2 linked regions of the Caenorhabditis elegans genome follow. The protein of the gene in region 1 purifies or fractionates together with the protein of each later gene. This does not show direct contact. Each region holds a gene or a part of one and is shown in the gene's direction. Other genes may lie near its edges.

What was found. Proteins that work in one complex are often made in the same cells at the same time.
Region 2: the proteins of ciao-2B (region 1) and Y57G11C.36 fractionate together in Caenorhabditis elegans (co-fractionation; one large-scale study listed by BioGRID). This does not show direct contact.

Annotation. Positions count from the first base shown.
Region 1 is NC_003281.10:13,436,145-13,441,356, reverse strand, and holds ciao-2B (MIP18 family protein F45G2.10), read left to right. Parts: upstream 1-1,812; 5' UTR 1,813-1,831; coding exon 1,832-1,914; intron 1,915-2,685; coding exon 2,686-2,842; intron 2,843-3,278; coding exon 3,279-3,446; intron 3,447-4,145; coding exon 4,146-4,220; 3' UTR 4,221-4,303; downstream 4,304-5,212. Other genes in the region: cua-1 (P-type Cu(+) transporter), read left to right, coding at 1-450, 1,063-1,436; F45G2.9 (rRNA methyltransferase 2, mitochondrial), read left to right, coding at 4,445-4,482, 4,537-4,753, 5,130-5,212.
Region 2 is NC_003282.8:14,770,468-14,775,845, reverse strand, and holds Y57G11C.36 (K Homology domain-containing protein), read left to right. Parts: upstream 1-2,091; 5' UTR 2,092-2,734; intron 2,735-2,790; 5' UTR 2,791-2,809; coding exon 2,810-3,421; intron 3,422-3,477; coding exon 3,478-3,601; intron 3,602-3,766; coding exon 3,767-3,902; intron 3,903-3,951; coding exon 3,952-4,222; 3' UTR 4,223-4,427; downstream 4,428-5,378. Other genes in the region: Y57G11C.51 (DUF3362 domain-containing protein), read left to right, coding at 1,553-1,813, 1,870-2,091; degl-1 (DEgenerin Like), read left to right, coding at 4,460-4,602, 4,658-4,736, 4,789-4,905, 4,971-5,069, 5,117-5,146; Y57G11C.43 (Protein KTI12 homolog), read right to left, coding at 5,209-5,378.

The DNA of each region.
Region 1 (5,212 bases):
TAATTTCAATTGCTGATCAAGTTAAAAAAGAAGCATCACTTGCAATCTATACTCTACGTGAAATGGGTCTTCGTGTCGTACTTCTCACAGGAGATAACTCGAAAACTGCAGAATCAACTGCGAAACAAGTCGGAATTGATGAAGTATTCGCAGAAGTTCTTCCAAATCAAAAGCAACAAAAGATTAAGCAATTGAAAGGATACAAAAACAAAGTTGCAATGGTTGGAGACGGTGTCAACGACTCGCCGGCTCTCGCAGAAGCCAATGTTGGTATCGCAATTGCTGCAGGAAGTGACGTGGCAATTGAGTCAGCTGGAATCGTACTTGTTAGAAATGATCTTGTGGATGTTGTTGGAGCAATTAAGCTATCGAAAATGACGACGAGAAGGATTCGATTGAACTTTTTGTTTGCAATCATTTATAATGCGATTGGAATTCCGATTGCTGCAGGTGAATTTTAAAAAAGTTATTTCGAACAAAAAAACCGATTTCAAATGGTAGAATAAAAAGTGTTAAAAATGTCGAAAAATTTTCAATTTTCCGAAAAACGAAAAAATTGAAAAAAAATGTCTAGAACATTTTTTTAATTTGAAATTTTAAATATCAATTTTTTTTGAAGAGAAAAACTTTAAAAATTATATTTTCTCTGAAAAAAGAAAATTGGTCAAAATTTGTAGCTATTTTTCGAAAACCCGGGTAATTTTTTTTCGAACAAAAAAAATCAAAATTTTTCGACTTTTCGAATACCCGGAAAACGAAAAATCGTCTAGAAAATTTTTAAACAATTCAAAATTTTATCAAATTCGGTTTATCTTGTTGAGAAGTACTTAAGAAAAAAAATTTCTGAAAAAAAAGAAAAATAGCTTAAGTTTGAAGCTATTTTTCGAGAAAAAAACGGAAATTTTCTACTTTTGTCTGGAAAATTTGAAAAATTCAAAATTTAATGAAATTTTCGTTGATTTTCGTTGAGAAAAAAAAAGAAGAAAATATTGTTTTTCTAGAAAACGCTATTTTTCCAATAACAAAAAACAATCCACTTTTAATAATTTTCCAAATTTCCAGGTGTATTCCGCCCATTTGGCTTCATGCTTCAACCATGGATGGCTGCAGCTGCAATGGCTCTTTCCAGTGTCTCCGTGGTTTCTTCTTCACTTTTACTCAAAAACTTCCGAAAACCAACGATTGCAAATCTCTATACGACGAGCTTCAAACGACATCAGAAGTTCCTCGAATCGGGCTCTTTCCAAGTTCAAGTGCATCGAGGCCTAGACGATTCGGCTGTTTTTCGAGGTGCTGCTTCTTCAAAATTATCAATATTAAGCTCAAAAGTTGGCTCACTGCTCGGCTCAACAACAAGTATCGTGAGCTCTGGGAGCTCGAAAAAGCAACGACTTTTGGATAATGTTGGATCAGATTTAGAGGATCTCATTGTGTAGTTTTTTTGATTTTTTATCCAATTTTTTGTACATTTTGCGTGCTTCGTTTCGTCATCTCACTCTCATCACACACATACCGACCAAATTCCATTTTTTACGCGGTTTTATTGTTTTAATTTGTGATTTTTTGCCTTATTTTCTTGTATTTTCCAAATTTTGAATCGAATTTAATAAACATTTTTTAAAAATTTAACTATAAATTTTTGATTTTAAATCTCAAAGTATTTTTCAAATTTTTATATCTCTGGAAATTATTGCAACAAAAAATTATTCAAATTTAAATTTTCGCCAAAAACTACATATGTATTGTTTTTTCTTCCACGGCCACTAGGCCACCGATATTTTTTCGTCATTTTCCATTTCCAGCTTAATTTCCAGGCTTATATCACATAAAAATGGGCCAAGAACGTCTCGACAATGCAAATCCAACACTTTTCGACTCAAAACCACGTCATCGACCTGTTACTGGCACTGAAAGGTTGGTTTTTGGAGGGTTTTAACGCAAAAATCAAGTTTTAATCGTTAAAAGTTTACTTTGAATTCAAAAAGAGCATATTTTCACGGTTAAGTTTTTATATAAATAAAGTACAGAATTTTTAAAAAATTCCGCAAAAAAACAGCGAATTAATAAATTGAAAATTCGAATTTTCAGCCATTTTTCGTATTTTTTCAAATGAAAATTTATAGTTTGAAACGTAATTACTTCGATTATTAAATTGAAAACACAGAAAAATCAAGAAAAACGCTTTTTACCTGTTATTTAAACGAAAAACATAATAAATTTAACAAAAACACGATAAAATACGAAAAATCGCATGAAATCCAAACATTTAAATAAAAAATTCCAGTAAAATGGAAGAGGAGATGAATTTTTGACACTTTGAAGCTCCAGAACATCTGTGTCAAAAGTGTCGGTTTTTAGATTTTCGAAAAAATAAAATCGAAAAACGAAAATTTTCCGTTTTTTGATTTTTAGATTTTTCGATTTTCCAATATTTCGAATTTTTTTTCGATTTTTCTAAAATTAGCTAAAAATTCTGATAATTGTTCTTCTGTTTAGAAGACGTTTTTATTTAAACAAAATTAAATTTAAAAAAAAAAAGAATTTTCTGCTGAGTTTTTTTTAAGTTTTTGATTTTCCTTGAAAAAATAGAAAACATCGAAAAATGAATTTTTTGTGTTGTTTCGCTTGTAAAAATTGGCTCTCAATTCCACTACATTATTTTTAATTCAAAAAATATGATTCCAGAGATGAAAGCGTCGAAGATCCAATCGATTCGTGGGAGATTTTCGATCTGATCAGAGATATCAACGATCCAGAGCATCCATATACTCTCGAGCAGTTAAATGTGGTTCAAGAGGAGCTTATCAAAGTGTTTATCGACGAAGAAGAGACCTTTGTGAAGGTAACTTTAATTTTAAAATAACTTTAAAATTTTTTACAATTTTTTACAAAACATTTCCAAGAAGCTTCCAATCTTTGAACAGAAATTCTACAGCATTGATTGGAAAAAAGTGAAAAAAATGCGCTTGAAAAAATATTAAAAATTGGTCTCAGCAATGCAGGGCTCTCCTGATATATTTAATCAAAATATACTGATTTAATTGATAAAAAAAGTTGATTTATCTTGCTTTTATTTAAATTGGAACAATTGATTTTTCCAAATATCAGACAATTCTTGAGCGTTTCCCAATTGTTCCAACTGAAATAAACTTTTTTCAGGTAAAACAAATATTTTTTTTCTACCTTCTATCACTAAATTTTAATGAAAAATATTGCGAGAAAATTATTGATTGGTAATTTAAAATTAATTTTTTTTTAAATTTGAAAAAAAATTTCAGGTGAATTTCACACCAACCATTCCACACTGCAGTATGGCAACACTAATCGGTTTGGCGATTCGAGTGAAACTTTTGAGATCTTTGCATCCGAAAGTTAAAGTTAGCGTTTCAATCACTCCAGGATCACATTCTACGGAAGAATCAATTAACAGGCAGTTGGCCGACAAGGTAAGTTTTTAATTTTTGATGAAAATAGTAAAATCTATATAATTTAAAAACCATTTATTTTTGCAAAAAAATCGAAAAAAAACTCTAAAATTGACTTTTCTGCTGAAAAACGCCTGTAAAATTGGCAAAAAACTGTTTCGAACTATAGTAATATGTAAAATGAGGAAAAATCAATAGTAAATAACGACTTTAAAAATTTTTAAAAACTATGTAATTAGCTTTTTTTTTTGCTAGAAAATGTCTAAAAAATTTGAAAAAAAAGTTTAAATCATAATTTGCCAAAAAACGTAATTTCAAAACTCGGGCATTAATTTGCGCAAAAATTTAAAAAAATCACTAAAACTTTAAAATTCGCCAAAATTCGATAATTCAACATTTCTTCTTAATATTTTATGCTGAAAACCGTCTGAAAACATTAATTTGAATTTTTTGATTGCAAAATGGCAAAAAAATCATTTTAAAAATTATTTAATTTTTTTAATGGTTTATTTGGAGATTTCGGTCTATTTTTATACTTTGCATTTTTTATTTTCGAAATTTTTTGAAATTAAATTTTAAAGTATAGAAAATAAGACCGAAGTTTCCGAATAAACCAATAAAAAAATTCAAAAAAAATTTAAAACATTGTATTTTTTAGTTTAGAAGCAAGCCCCTCAAAAAGTTAATTTTTAAAACATAAATTCAAAATGTCTCATTTAGGAACGAGTAGCTGCTGCAATGGAAAATCAAGGACTAATGCACGCTGTTAACGAATGCCTCAGAGTTCCAGAATAACCAAAAAAAGATCCAGATTAAAGTTTTTGTGATATTAAAAGTTGCCTATCTATCAGGTTTCGAATAAAAACGTGTTTAAAATTATTTAGTTTTTTTGTCGAAATTTTCATTTTCATAGGTTAGATTTAAAAATCACCAGAAAAGTATCTAGATTCAGGGAATTTATTTTTTTGTTGAAAAATTAGTGATTAAGAATTCGAAAAAAAATGTTCAAAAGTGTCAGGATGTTCTCAACGAAAAAATCACAAGGAAATTTGCACAAGTGAGTTTTCTTCCCCCATCAAATATAAATTTATTTTTCAAATTTAAATTTCAGATATATTCAACGGCAATCAACAGACGAATTTGCGGTTAAAGCTCGTGAGCACAATTACCGAGCACGGAGCGCCTTCAAATTAATCGAAATTAATGAGAAATTCAAATTTCTGAAACCGGAGAGTACTGTAATCGATATTGGATGTGCACCTGGCTCATGGCTTCAAGTAGTTGTGCAGAAGTGTCCAAATGGATATGCATCGGGTGTAGATTTACAAGTAAGTTATTAAAATTAGTTTTAGAAAAAAAAACGTTGTGCCCCCAAAAGTTGGGTCTCGTTAGGTATTTGACTGCAAAATCGGAAATAAAAAAAGTTTTTTCTTGTTTTTTGCCGATTTCGCTAGTTTTCAAGAATTTTAAGTAGTTTGTTTAAAAGTGAATAATTTTTTTTTCATTTGTCACCCATTTTGGCTTACAATTATTAAAATAAAAGAACAAATACACGACGGAAAATGCTTGAAAAGTAATTTAAAATTTTTGAATTTCCGGTTTCGCCGCCAAATACCTAACGAGACCCACGTTCCGGGGGCGGAGCTTTTTCATCTTGCATTGGAGCGCGATTGCATTTCAATTTCAAAATGCAAATTATTACAGAATGTTCTCCCAATCCGCGGTGCCGACATCTTATCACTCTCCGATATTACCGATCCAGCAGTGAAACTGAAAATTCGAGAAAA
Region 2 (5,378 bases), on another chromosome or scaffold:
TCTTAATCTAAAGTACAACTTTGTAGTTGATTGTTTTTCACCAAAAAAATTGCTGGTCGAGATAAAGTTGTGTAAAGTTCGGCACCTTCATGCTTGTATTTTCTTCTTCTTTTTCTATTCATATCTCATCCAACCAATTTTTTGATAAAAAACGATGAACTGCAAAATTGTACTTTATATTAAGATAAACAACTTTGTAGTTGATCACTTTGTCATAAAAAATTATTACACGGAGATATCAGCATCCGAAGTGAGTGCGTTTTTTGAATTTTGAGGTTCTACTATACATCAGGTTTTAGTCTGAATTCGTGTTCAGAACATCTAAACTAGATAAACAACAAACATTGCATTTTTCTATAACATCTGATCAAATTTTGAAAAGTTTTCAAAAAAAGTTTTCAAAAAAAAATTTAGAAAATTTTTGTAAGGGGTACCCTTTGGATTTTTTTTTTCATAAATCGAAAAAAAAAACATTGAAACCTAAAAAACCAAATGTTTTTGACACTATCGCCAACAACATTCTAGTTGGACACATTTTATTGCAAAATCTCATTGCCAACTATCCTATGCTGAAACCTTTGAAATATGCTTATGCTCACGTTTTGAATATGCTTATGCTGATGTGCGCTTATGCTGACAAGAGCTCTCACGAGAATTTCGTGATCCAATAAACACATTGAAAGCTTATATCAGGACACTTGACGACGTAAAAGAAAACCGAACCTATCCAGATTTTTTTCTCGATTGGAAGATATCTAGTACTTGAAAATGTGTTCATAAAGATTGGAACTACTACAGAATAAGTCATTAAGTTATTTTCTGTTCCTATTGTTCAGTTTCTACAAGAAATCTATTCCACATTGACTTTTGTTGTGAATTTGAACCTTCCGTTGGCCTAAAATACTTCTGTAGAGCTACTTTTTTCGAGAGTATTCTTAAGTCTTCTACAGATTCAACTTGTTGGAAAATCGGGAACTTCTCTGATTCCTCGAAAATACTGTTGTTTAAAAAAAAATTTTGGCCTAAATTTTTTTTCCTCAAAAACACCTTCATTCTGGTATTTTCTAGGAGCATATGTCATCTGTATTGTTTAATAATTTTTTGCTTCAAAAGCTCTGTTTTTGTGCTTAAAACTCTCATTTTTGTCGATTTCCTAGTTTAAAACATGGAAATTAAAAACATTTCGGAGTACGGTACACATCGGTGTTTGCGTACCTTTGCGTATTGTGCATTTAATTCGACGACGTCCCCACACCTCGACAGTTAGACATTCTGTCTTTTATTCTGGGCGACTGGTGGTTGCCCTCCCTTGATTTTTCCTGCTATATTTTTGGATTCAAATTGTTTTTCCTAACAACGGTAAGTGTTTTGAATAAATATTTGATCACGATTTTTCCGAGAAATGTGGCAAAATAACGTCACAAACTTTATTTAAATACATGTTTTTAAATTTATAAGGCAACGAGCATCTTGAAATACACTTTGATTTTACGAACTACTTGAAAAGCCCCGGTAATTGTGATTTCTCTTCATTGTCTTCTTCCAGAACAAGATGCGATCCCAACCAGCCCAGCTTTACGATCTGTCAAAGAGAGCCATCGCCGCAAAGGAATCGTACAAGAAGATGTCTCCGAGCAAGAAAAAGGAGGAAAATGCGAAAAGCAACGCCAACAGAGCTTCGAGGAAAGGAAGTGGGCCGAAGAAGGCCAAGCCTTCTGATGCTGTGAAAAGGGCGAAGGAAGCCGAAAAACGAGAGAAGAAGAGGTTGAGCGACAAGAAACGATGGGAGGAATTAAATGATGCAGCGAAGGAGGTATGTTATAAACGTATTCAATTTATGATTGGAACCTAATTGCTTCAATTATTCAGGTCGTTCGAGCTAATGCACGAGAAGCGTCAGCAAGACGCAGGGCTGGTCGCGATGCAGGCCTGTCAGCGAATCCGAAACGCTCGCCACGATGGTCTCCGCAACCGGACCCTTCCACGCCATCATCCTCCACATCATCCTCCACATCATCCTCGCCGTCGTCGTCATCCACTCCACTTACCAGCACACAGAGACGCTCGCCACGATTCCACGCCGCCCCTTGATTGATTGATTGATCTTTCCCCCAACTAACATTTCATACTTACCCCGCTATCATGTAAAATATTTATTTCGCATCCCTCCCCCTTGCCATTAATCTTATAAAACAGGTGCCCCCTCTTGCAATTTACCATGTAATTATGAATAAATCATCACTGTCTCTTCGAATGGAAATTTGTTATAGAGCGCACTTGCATTTTTGCTATTTTCTGCGATTTTTTTCTGTTGAAAGAACATTCAGTTCAGATTTATTTTTATTTTTTGCGTTCTCGGCTTACGCATCAGCGAAAGTTTATGCACGAGTTGCGAAATTCTATGCAGGTGGTGCAGAATTCTATGCAAAAGGTGCGCAAGTCTATTCAGGAGTTTCATTTTATGGAGGATTTTTAACTTCACGTAGGAATTTTCACTTCATTTTCAATTTACGCCGAAGTTTCACTTCACACACTGAGAAAAAAGAACGACAGCTCACGTGAAGTGAAAAATATTTTTAATATTAAATATATTTTTTAATAAATGAGAGCAAAAGTTCACGCAGCGGCTGATGTGGTGTTTCCACGTGAGCTTGCCACGTCATCCATCCGCCCGTCTTTGATCCGATGACCTTCCCGGAAAAGTTCAGTTTTAAAACGTTTTTCGTTCAGTCGTGTGAGTTTTTTTTCTATTTTTTTTTGTTAATTTTTAATGTTTTTTTTTAATTTCAGAGTCATCTTCTGCCTGACAATGAGTTCTTCTGCCGATTCGCTTACGGACGGCATTCAACTTCTCCGCCTCGCCGAAAAGCATCAACACTCGTCTCTTCTGACTCCGCCACCGTCGGATGACTCTCAAAAGTCGCTGAAATCCACTTCAAACCACTCGGATCAGGAGATGTCGAAGAATCTGCACGATGTCGAAGCCTACATCGATGCGCTGAAAGGCGAGAAGCATCAGCTGGCTCAATACTCTAGCGGCGGCTTCAACCATGTCTTCAACTTGATCGACAAGGAGATTCAGAAAGTCGGAGGAAACGATGCTCATGATGGTGGCTCACAAATGAGTGGCGATGGTTCGATGCTCACGGAGACTATCATGGTTCCAGTAGAAAAGTTTCCCGATTACAACTTCGTTGGAAGACTTCTTGGACCACGTGGAACAACTGCAAAGCAGCTCGAAGTGACAACTGGTTGCCGCATCACAATCCTCGGAAGAACCAAGAGAGATGGATCAAGCTCGAATCCCGATGTCACTACAGGTCCATTGAGAGTGCAAATTTCTGTTCCAGCAGATATGCCGCAAGCTGCAAAACTCTTGAAAGGTGGCGTCGGTCACATTCAAGCAATTCTTGATGTACCAGTGAGTGAAAAATAATAAAAATATCGCTTTTATCCACCAATAATAAAAGTTTTCAGACTGACGGTAACGACGAGCTGAAGCGTCAACAATTGCTCATTCTTGCCAATATGAATGGTACCTACCAACCTCGCGGCTCAGCCACATCTCCAGGATCCGGCGACTATGGGCATCCGTTCCAGAGTTAGTATTTTTAAAATTCTCCTATATATATATAATTTTCCTGTATCTACCTGTATCCTTCATGTGTCTATCAATCACCCATTTCGTGTTCTATAATAATTATGATAATACTTTTTCGAAAATTCCCAAATAAAAACTTAAAAATATACATTACGTTTGTTACAGACCTGCTTCCATACGGTTATCGTCTGCCAGGCAACAGCCCAAGCCACCATGAGTCAAAGAACGACTGTTACAATCCAAAGTGTGCGATGATGAGAAGCTTTATTGAGCATTCCAACAACAATCATAGCTCAATGCAGTTAGTTGTAAAACTGAGAAAATATATTTAAAATCTAATTTAATTTCAGAAAAATGGATGATGTATTCCATATGATGCACATGTACGAGCTCATGAACCGCGTCCGTATCGCCAATTCCCATCTTTTCGGACGTCCAGAAGACATCAGCAAGGCCCAGGAAATTGGAAATCGCATGTGCTCATCGATCAATGCTCCACGTGCTCGATCCTCCAACTCCACCACCACCACAACCACCACTCTGCCACCTCGTCGTTTCTTCAACACGAAACCACGTCCATCATACCAAGCTAATAACGAATCCAACAACGCTAACAAGTAACCAGATGTAATTATAATTACCTACACCATCCCCTTATTCCTGTAATCATTTCTTGTTAAATTATTTATGCTCCATTCCCCCGTTTGATTGTTCATATTTCTTTCCGAAATCCGAGCACTTCTCCATTTTCTTCATCTAAAATTTAAAAAAGTAGGCTTGAAGCCAGTGTTTGTTAGAATAAAAGAGCACAAGCTCAGTGTTTTGTAAATTTTCTTCTCAATTTTTGTTTCACATCTTATGTCTGAAGTTCGGCAGCGAAAAAGTTCGATTATCGACAGTGATTTGGACTTTTCCGATTCAGATGGAGAATTCAAAGAAATCATTAAAGACATTGAAAATGATCAATGGAAAGATAAACCAGTCGATGAAACGAGATGGTCGTAAGATAAAAAAAACTCTAAATTTCTAGCTTTTTCCATAGATTTTCGGATTCAGAAAAACAAAAAGTGCTGTACACGAGTGGGGATTGTCTTGTTCGTGGCATGGAATCCCTCACATGGCTCAATCTCTTTCAGTAAGTAATAGGTTCAAATATTTCTTCAAATTCAGAGATTCCATGATTCCAGTGGCCAACGATCCTTCTCTGGACAACCTTGCTCATTATCAGCGCCGTTTTGTTCGTCTACCTTATCACCGTCACCGTTCGCCAATACTTTTCGTTTCAAAAATTGGTGAATCTGAATGTAAATTTCTTAAATCGCTTTTTTTTTTAAATCTTTATTATTTTATTGAAGCCAAAGAATTGTAGATTGGAATGGTAGAGTCGAACTTCCCATCAATCACATTCTGTAATACAAATCCATATAAATTGAGTGCAGTTCGAGCGATTCCTGAGCTGGAAGCCTTGGTAATTAAATTTACAAAATTTAAAATGAATCGGAATTTTGTTTTCAGCTCACCGTCTACTCACAAGCCTATACATGATAAAACTTTGGATTTTTATTTTTCTGCATTTTCAAATAAAGTCATAACAAACAACAAAACAATCATCTCAAATTGCAATTCAAAAAATCGACAAATCCCGTGATAATCTTCTCCTTATCAGTTGTCGGATCCTTCTTCGACATGTTCACAAATTGGTGTCGCAGTCGATTCAGCTCAGGCAGCGTTCTCAATTTCATAAACTTTATCGTATTGGCTCCGTCTGTTGCTCCAG